Nothobranchius furzeri: one gene and its partner. The protein of the gene in region 1 interacts with the protein of each later gene in a biochemical or structural test. Links are inferred from orthologs where the notes say so. Each region holds a gene or a part of one and is shown on either strand. Other genes may lie near its edges.

Region 1 (5,052 bases):
TGTGTGCGCGCGCGTGCGGCACAGCTCCATGCGCCGCTCCAGTCACCGCGTCTCGTTATTGGTGCTATTCAAACCAATGTTGTAAAATTACTTCTGCCCAGCCCAGATGTGCTCACATGTGCACCCGTGAGCCGTGGTTCCGCTGGAACGCGTCTGACCTCTGACAGACGCACTCTGAACTTCAGACCTTCAGCGTGCTGTTAACAGCCTGACACATTTAGAATGCTGTCCCACAGTCAGTGTGCTAATATAATAATATAATAATGCTAAAATGCTCAGATGGGAATCATTTCTTGATTTATTCTGTTACATCTACAATGTTCTGTGTGTGTGTGAGGTTTACAACTTCAGAACACCTGCATGAGACAGGTGTTAATTACAATCTGCCAGAATGACTCACCACCTTCAGATTCCTCCAACACCGTTAAAAATGATCAAATACTGAACATATCCTGCTGTTGACAGCGTGCGCAAGCCAGAGCGCTGAAACTCGGCGCATTATTATGAAGCTAGGGCACATGCGGAGGACACACACACACACACAAGCAAAATATACTTGTTTTCCAATTACATTTATTGGGCCCACCCACAAAGGAGTTTCTGGCTACGCTAATGGTGACATATGACAGACTTCTCTGAGCTCCGCAGCCATTACACTTTTCACCTCGCGCACCCCCTAGCGGCAGCTCGCGCACCACACTTAGGGAGTCCCTGCTCTAAGGTAGAAAAGAGAGAAAAAAAACTCCAGATGCATTTTTCTGATTTTGTTCCCTTACAAGGATATTTATGCCCTGTAATTATATCGGCATTTAGAGGGGCAAAAGGGTTTCCGTTAAACAAACACTGTCTCTGAGGAGAGATCCATCCTGCAACAGTTAGTATGTTCAAATGTGTCTAGGAGGGATTTTTAGGTCCAGTGTTAGTCTGAACAATCCACCCACAAGCTGACAGCTCTGAAAACAAGTTATCAAACCTGCCAATAAAAGGCACGTCCTGAATGACACCCTGCAGCAGGATCTCTGATGATGCAGCATGATAAAGACTCGCTGCCTGAGTAGCTAGACTCCACCAGGACTGGTGTCTGATCCTGTCAGCAATCTTCATGAACGGAAGCTCACATCGCAGTCGAGTGGTTTGGGTCTCATCTCTGCTTTAGGTGACAGCAGATGATGTGGTTCTGTTAGCATCTTCAGGCTATGATCTTTAGCGTGCACTAGCATGCTTCACAGCTGGGGGCCGAGGGCTGGGATGAGAATCAGCTCCTCTAAGACCGATGTCATTGTTCTCAACCGTATAAAGGTGAAACACTCCCTCCAGGTTGGAGCAGAATAATTAAAGTATCTTGTTAACTAAGAGATGGATCCAAGTAAAACAGAATCTATTAACATCAGCTGGTAAAAACGTTTATAAATGGAGCAGCAAACAGTGTTTTCATTCAGTTAGATGCAATGGTTGCAAATGCAGCTTCATGAAAAGTTAAACACTTAGCATGGAAGCAGATAGCAGCTATTTTTAGGTCTGATGGGATTTCCTTCAGATCAAGAGTCGACTGTTCAGTTATCTGAAAAAGTGCTGTGCTCATTTTCTAATGATGACAACAACTTATTATCTAAAGAACGTAAGCTTTGTTTTCTCCAGATAAGATGAATACGATGAAAATGGGAGAAATTCCTGTGTTACGCCCGTTTTCTTCATTTAGTAGCATTGCTGTGACTCTTGGATGATTAAAACTTATTGATGTGCTGTTTACTTTTGAATCAGTTGCAAGCAAGACTGACCTGATTTCTGATGAAGTAGCCCTCTCTGGTTGTGAGTTAGAAATAACTGTCTTAACACATTGGAGCAAGCTGTTCCAGGTCAAAATGTCTACATATTTCAGCCTGTTATAGCAACAAAACAAGCTTTATCCCCAGTGAAAGCATTAAATAACAAAATAAACCATTATTAAAAGACCTGCAAATGAAACCATATTTGTAGGCCTGTCATTGTGCGGCTTCCAAACGTCCGAAGTTTTGTTTTGTTTGGCTCACACACAACGGTAAAATGTAGACTTCTGTTATTTACTCACTAAGTAAAAAGATCTGTTGGATTTGAAAGATCTCATGTCAGAATAACACATGGATGCTGAGGGTGCTGTTCTGCAGCATCTCTTACTTATGAAGCATGTTGGAAGTAAAACTAATATTATGTAAATATTAAATAAAGTCTCAAATGTTGGGATGAACTCATGTGTTCCTACAATACAACTGTACTTAACAGAACCTCTTCCTAAAATAAATTTAGGTTTTCTTTTTATTTCCCATCAAATGATTTGAAAAATTTGTTGTACATCCAGTATAAAATCCACACACATCCATTTAAGTTACAAGTAATAGTTAACCCAAACAGGGGAAATGCCCCCAAATTGTGAATATTTAAAAAAAAAACTGTTTTGTACATTTTAGTCCTGAAAAGAAAGTTCTACCTCACTGGTGAACATGGCACAAAAGTAGTCGCTGCAAGCAGCCAAGACGATCCGGTGAGCAGGAAAATCCGCGTTGTCCACCCTCAGAGTGATGTCGCAGAGTGTGTTACTCTTGCGGAGTGAATTCATTGCATTGAGGATGGATTTAGCATGGGAATTTGTCATGATGTCTTTGGGAGCCATGCTGTTTGGAGGATCCGTCATAGATCTCAAACTCCCACAGGAACCTAAAATAAATACATCAAGACAAATAAACGGAATTCTTGCAGACCACAATGCCATCTGGGAACAGGAACAGAGACAGGAAGCACCGGATTATTGGATTAATAATAATAATAAAAACTTTAGCATTGGCTCATTAGTTAAAGATTATTCAGGAACCATCATGACTACTGAAAAAACATTTTTGATGAATCTGTAGAAATCATTAGATGTGTGTGTATTGGTTTGTTGTTTTGTTTTGGAAGAAAAAAACAAGGAAAGACATCAAATAATGTCACATCTGTCAGTGGAAGAGTCCACAAACAGGTATTATCCATCCTTAGGTATTTAAAAGCTGATATGTTGATTAAAACCAGACAAAAAAAAAAAGAATAAAACAAACGTATTTGTCAAACAAAAACCCATGTTTGAAACTACAAGTACATTTAGTTAGAACCAGGATTTTTATTTGATCGTGGTGATGAAACTTACCGTGAAAAGATCCTAACACTTTTTCCACCACTGGGAGGCAATAACTATAGCTACACATGAGCTAAAAGCAGCACTGAACAACAGCTGACGGCTAACGCCAACGCCACACAACTTCAGAAAACAGCAGCTACAAAAGCGGCCTGTAGGCCAGAGGGAGACAAAACAAGAAGCGACACACACACAAGAACTTGGCAAGAATTTGCATTATACCTGCAGGGCAGAGTCAAAACGTCTAGCTAAGTTGTTTTGCTAACTAACTGTAGCAGCACCAAAGTCTCAGTTCAAACCGCCCTAATCCATCATGACCTCCGTCAGGTCACACCAACACACGGCCTCCGCGGGGACGGGTCTGTTCAAAATATCAAAATTATCTCATATTATGTCCCAGAACGATCTTTGAACACCAACAATTTAACGTTGACTAAACTGCAGTGGGTCACAGTAGCGCCACCAACAACATAGTTGGCAAGCAGATGTATCATATAATAGTTGGACACGAACTTTCAAACAAAAATCCAGAATTCACTTGTTCGTAGTAAAATGAATAGCCTTTAGTCTGTGGTTGTTGTTGCTGTTGTAGTATATGTTGTTACATGACTATATGTTGTTACATGACGTTGTTACCTGATGTTCAGACATGATGTTGTTACTTGATTTTGTTACATGATGTTACTTGATGTTGGTACCTGATGTTATTGCATGATGATAGTACATAATGTTGTTACCTGATGTTGTTACAAGATGTTGTATAATGTTGTTACTTAATGTCACCTGATGTTACCTGATGCTGGTACCTGATGATGTTACATGATGTTACGTGATGTTATTTGATGTTGTTACCTGATGATGTTACATTATGTTGTTACCTGATGTTGTTACTTGATGTTGTTACATGATGATGTTACATTATGTTGTTACCTGATGTTGTTACTTGATATTGTTACATGATGATGTTACCTGATGTTGTTACCAGATGTTGTTACATGATGATGTTACATTATGTTGTTACCAGATGTTGTTACATGATGTTATTATTTGATGTTGTTACTTAATGTTGTTACCTGATGTTGTTACCCGATGTTGTTACCGGATGTTGTTATATGGTGTAGTTACTTGATGTTGTTACTTGATGTTATTACCTGATGTTGTTACTCGATGTTGTTACCTGATGCAAAAACAAGGTAAAATAACACTTGCTGTGTTAAAAAGAACAGTAATGCAGTAGAAATGCAGAACAATTTAATAAAACAATGTCAAATGTTATGACATGTTACTCATTTCTATGCACAGTGTAGAAGTAAAATGCTATTTGTGACCAAAGTGCCATTTAAAAAGATGAACTCAAATGTCAACTCACTTGTGCAGTGGAAATATGAACTAGACAAAGACATGGACAGATATGTTTGCCACATCTGAAGGGGATAACCTAATATAAATTAATGGAAAGCTGACATAATTTGCTTCAAAAGTTTGTTTTCCCTGACAAAGTCTCAGTTATGGAAAACTTGAGACACAATTTTAATATTGTGACAGTTTTGGTTATCATTGGTTTTGATTTTATAATTCAGATTGTCATTTTGACAGAAATATTTACACTGACGTTCAAATTACTTTTTAAATGTAATTATATTAAATGTTAAAACAGCTTGCCAAATTCACCGGCAGCCGGGGCGATGACGTACACAGTGCGTGAGTGTGCGTGCGCGCTCCCCAAAGAGCGAGACGCGTTTTTTTCCCAGAAATATGATGCCTCCCGCGCGTCCTCGCCTGTTGGTCGCTGCTGTTTCAGAAATGGTGAGATGACGATTCTGTGTCAACAGACTTACTTTCCAGACTTGAAGAAGTGCTGTGAATCCTACACAGATATCTCACAGCAGCAAATTAAAACAAAACAA
Region 2 (4,785 bases), on another chromosome or scaffold:
TCTTCTAACTAATTAGTTTTATTCAGCTGTTGCATAACTTCATTGCTGGTACACACGGATGTTTTGTATTCTGAAATGAAATTAAACAACTCAAATGATGAGACTTTCATGTGATGGCGTGACCCAGATTCATAGCTGGGATAAAACAGAGATGCATTTAACTTTTTTAACAAGTATTTTTCTTGTAAAGATTTTCATCACATATATATCTTATAATAATAATTTCAGTGGGTGAAAACTGTCAAAACAAAATACTTTGGATTCCAACAGAATTGTAAATCATGTTGCTTTTTGTAAATGGACACACATGATTAAAATGTAAAGCAATAATAGGATATCTATCTATCTATCTATCTATCTATCTATCTATCTATCTATCTATCTATCTATCTATCTATCTATCTATCTATCTATCTATCATCTATCTATCTATCTATCTATCTATCTATCTATCTATCTATCTATCTATCTATCTATACACGCACACACACACACACACACACACACACACACACACACACACACACACACACACACACACACACATATATATATATATATATATATATATATATATATATATATATATATATATATATATATGTGTGTGTGTGTGTGTGTGTGTGTGTGTGTGTGTGTGTATGTATGTATGTATAAATAGTAGGGCTGGGCAATAAATCAAAAATTTATTGTAATCAAAATTTCTGACTCGTGATAATTTTTCCCATGTCAATAAATTTGATAATAAAAAAATGAAAAGATGTGTGTAGGTTGGCAGCGTTCATGTCCATGAAGCTGTATCACTGTCACGTAAAAATGTTCCTCAATGTAATACATGTGGCAGCCCCATCTATTGGACAACTTTTGTTTCTGCGCATATCTGTAGTTATCGTCCAATTATCGTTATTGAGGTGAAATCCTCAATATATTGTGATATTAATTTTAGGCCATATTGCCCAGCCCTAATATATTGGTATGTCAGCTCAAATTTTTCCATTCCAACAGACCAAATCGGCACTCTGAAGTTGCAAATGCGGTATGCGGCCACAGAGGGCAGTAGGGGTCTGAGAATGACATGATTGTAAAGGGTCATTTTAGCACATACTGGCTCAAGTAAATGAAAAATTTGCATGGTGTACCTTTACGTTTACTTAGAAAACGGACGTGTTTACATCTTCTTTTACTTTCAGATTTATTTGCCAGTAATAACTGGGGTCAGAAAAAACTTTTATTGGTCCATAGACTTCCATTCTTATTTATTTATTTTTTTCTTTTGCAATAAGGAATCCAGATGGGCGTGACTTAGGCTCCATATCAATTGGCTGCTGAGTAATGGCCATCATAATTCAGTTATATTCATAAATTGAACATCACAGACTACTACTGCTACCACTTTTTGTCAGTTCATGTTAGCCTCACGTATGATGCACTTCGAGTCTTTTACATTCTCCAAAATACAAATATTTGTTAACAAATTTGAAAAATTTAATGCATTATTTTTAACCAATTGAAATAAAAATTGGACCATGACGTAACGCATGGTGAATGACAAGCCACGCCCCCGTGCGCGCGGAGGAGGCAGGCATTTTTAAGGTCGGGTGGTGAAGTGTGAGTGAAGCAGCTGAGAGAAACTACAGCCGCAGCAGAAAAAGGACAGTCGGTGTACTTGTTTGTAGTTTTATTCCAGGACGGAGCACACCTTTTTATCTTTAAAACATGGCGTATCACAGTCCGTACAGAGCTCACCCGCAAGGCAACCCTCCTGTGGACCAGAGTTTCCTGTGGAATATCTTCCAGAGGTGAGTGCGGGGAAGGCGGGTTTGTTTCGCCCCGCAGTGAAAACTGCTGTCGTGAGAAGCGCGAAGAGGAAGAGGAAGAGGAAGGCAGCGGGGCTGGGTGGTGTTGCAACAAATATTCCTGACAGCTCAGCCTTTGTCTCTGACAGCTGAGTCTTTGTCTCTTATTCTCGTGTCCTTTTAACTGCTTTAGGCTCGGAACACAGGTCCGCAGTGCTGTTTGTGACACGAGAGAGGAAATACCAGCGTTTCCTCCAGCGTCTCTCAACCCCTCACCTTCCTAGTCTTTTGTGTTGCAACTGTAAAAGTGGCGCAAAGGCTTTAGATTGTGTTCTTCTGAATCAGCTGATCGCTTTTGAGCCACGGAAGTTCTAAAATCTAAATACAAGGACCTCCACTAGTCCTTGAAGGCGTCACGTTTTCACAGAATTCACTTTACCCAGACTTCTGAACTTATTTATGCCTAACACCAGACAAAAATCTCATCATAAATGAAAGGATCTAAACTGAGAGTGTTTCACTAACAGGCTTCAGGTATGTGTCACGGGCTGTGACAGTCAGTGAGGGACATGTTGATTTGGCCCCTGCACATTAAGCCCAATATAGTTATGCAATACTGCAGAGGATCCATTTCTATCACCACCGAGATGCTGCAGGCGTTCAGATGCTTCAACCATTATTAACAAATTATTTATGTGAAGCAACAACCTCAGATGTACAGATGTGTGCCGGCTGTTGCCCTCTGTTTCATCCCCACACGCTTGTCATTTTGTTTCGCTGTCACAGGAACAGCCTTCCTCATCACCGTCTTCACACATAAAGTCATCTTCAGCGTAAATGTCAAACAAACACAAGCGATATGACAGTCCTGAGTGTAGGGAGAGTCTCTGACGCACACGCACACACACGCACACACACGCACACACACACACGCACACGCACACACACACACACAGCCTCATCTGTGTTTGTGTGTAAATCTGGCAGAGCTGTACTGGAATTCCCTTGGTCATGTGATCAGAGGCAGGTTTTTGACACACACACACACTTATCTATGACTCACAGTGGGATAGTTGTTAGAAATCTATTAAATTAAAGCTCTATAACCATATTTTTATCCTTTTTAAATTGAGTGTAATTGGACGACATAAAAGGGAAAGGCTCATTTTTAAAAGAATAATGGTTTTTATTCCTTCTAGTGTACCACTGGACTGCAGTCTATTGATTGGGATTGGTCCCATGAGGTAATGTGGGATGAATCATCTTTCCCTTTCACCTACTTTCCAAACAATGATGATGGTACAACAAAATGTTAAAATTGCCCAACAACACACACGTGTTGCTACAAGAAGCTAATCTGAGCTCAGCTCAGATCTACTTAAACTTAAGAAAAGTTGGAATAAGCCAGTCATCCTTCTGCAACGATGCTGCTTCTATTTTGGGAGTTTTTATGTGGAAAGCGGAGCGGGTGTTTCCCAGCCTCATATTCCATCCAGACTGTCTAATAGGAAAAAGCGAAACATGGGAAAATCTGACTCCGTCTCGGCTTATTATTTAAAAAAAAAAACAACAACTTTATCTCTGTTGTGATGCATTCTAGCTCTGTTTGAGGATGCAAATGCCAGATGGTGTCTCTTGAGCGTGCAAAAAGGAGTTCTAATGATGCTTTCACCATCCTTTTATTTATTTATTTTTTTTTTGCTTGTGCCTGAGGCAGAGTGTGTTCATGTAAAGAAGATGAGAGGTGGAAGAACAGGAAGTGTAGAGGATTGAGGTAAAGGATGTCCTGTTCACATGTGGAGTTTTACTTCTAGGACATGAATAAAATGTTGTATTCATTACATTTCACTTAGATTAGTTGGATTTTGAGTCCTTCTGTTGTAGATCTGCTGCTGCTGCATTTGGATTATTGTTCTGTTTTATGACCCAGTTTGGTCCAAACCTCAGCTGTCCTACAGATGGACTCATGCTAGGCTCTTTGGTCTACAGAGGGGTTCATGGTGGACTCAGCCTCAGCCTTTCACCACCGTGCTGGTATGAGCTGTCAGGTTTCCGCCAAACCCAGCTGTGCATTATGGGTAAACCTCTCTACTTTGGTCCGTAGGTCTCATAGTGTCAACATGTTTGGTGGTGTCTGCTGGTCATTTCCTACTGAGTTAAAACCATGAGCTAACCACAATTCCCGCCCAGCGACTCTACTGGTCCTTTTTGTGTACTTACGCCAGTTCAGGTACTCGTATGATCCCTGAAATGGTCAGAAAATGGTTCTTTAGGGCTGGCCAGGTGAAATGGACACTTATGCAGCGAAGGTCCAGTTAAATTAGCCAGAAGCCCTGAAGGTGGAATGAGCCCGATGCTTTTAGAGCAAAGAAATTTTCTACCTGTTGACCTTCTAAACATGGAGTGCTTGTTTCTTTTTTTGTCATTCTCACAGATTTGACCTTGAAAACACTGATTGCATCTATAGGGTCAGTTCAGACTGATGTCTCTCCTCTGTTGCATAGCGTTAACACACACTTGTATGCCCCAGACGAACAAACTGCTCTGACTCATGCTTTAACTGATCCTCAGTGTGTATTAATCAATACATTAGATCAACAGCACCTGGCTGATACGCTTATTGTTTAGGCTGCAGGAGTGTTTTTCTCACCCAGAAATTTCTTTTTGGCTTTATTTTTGTTAAAAAGATGACGACATGGTGACACATCATGTGACTTTTGCACATCTGAGGTCAGATTTGAATAATTTCAAAACCTGGATGGGATCATGTTGAAAGATCAAAAGTTAAAAAAAGGGCACTTTCCTCTACTATGACACACACACACACACACACACACACACACACACACACACACACACACACACACACACACACACACACACACACACACACACACACACACACACACACACACACACACCTTTGACTAAATCAGCTGTGTGTTTGGGAAAGGACGGGTGCTCAACCCAAACCACTCTTCTTAACAAT

The links.
Region 2: the proteins of kelch-like protein 12 (region 1) and pdcd6 form a complex in vitro, tested with the Homo sapiens proteins (2 studies listed by BioGRID). The link is inferred for Nothobranchius furzeri from reciprocal best matches to the Homo sapiens genes KLHL12 and PDCD6.

What each region holds. Positions count from the first base shown.
Region 1 is NC_091755.1:52,045,160-52,050,211, forward strand, and holds the start of kelch-like protein 12, read right to left. Parts: upstream 3,444-5,052; 5' UTR 3,368-3,443; exon of another isoform or gene 3,298-3,367; 5' UTR 3,216-3,297; coding exon 3,158-3,215; intron 2,692-3,157; coding exon 2,465-2,691; intron 1-2,464. UniProt on the Homo sapiens protein: Substrate-specific adapter of a BCR (BTB-CUL3-RBX1) E3 ubiquitin ligase complex that acts as a negative regulator of Wnt signaling pathway and ER-Golgi transport.
Region 2 is NC_091747.1:42,166,802-42,171,586, forward strand, and holds the start of pdcd6 (programmed cell death protein 6), read left to right. Parts: upstream 1-1,535; 5' UTR 1,536-1,716; coding exon 1,717-1,799; intron 1,800-4,785. UniProt on the Homo sapiens protein: Calcium sensor that plays a key role in processes such as endoplasmic reticulum (ER)-Golgi vesicular transport, endosomal biogenesis or membrane repair.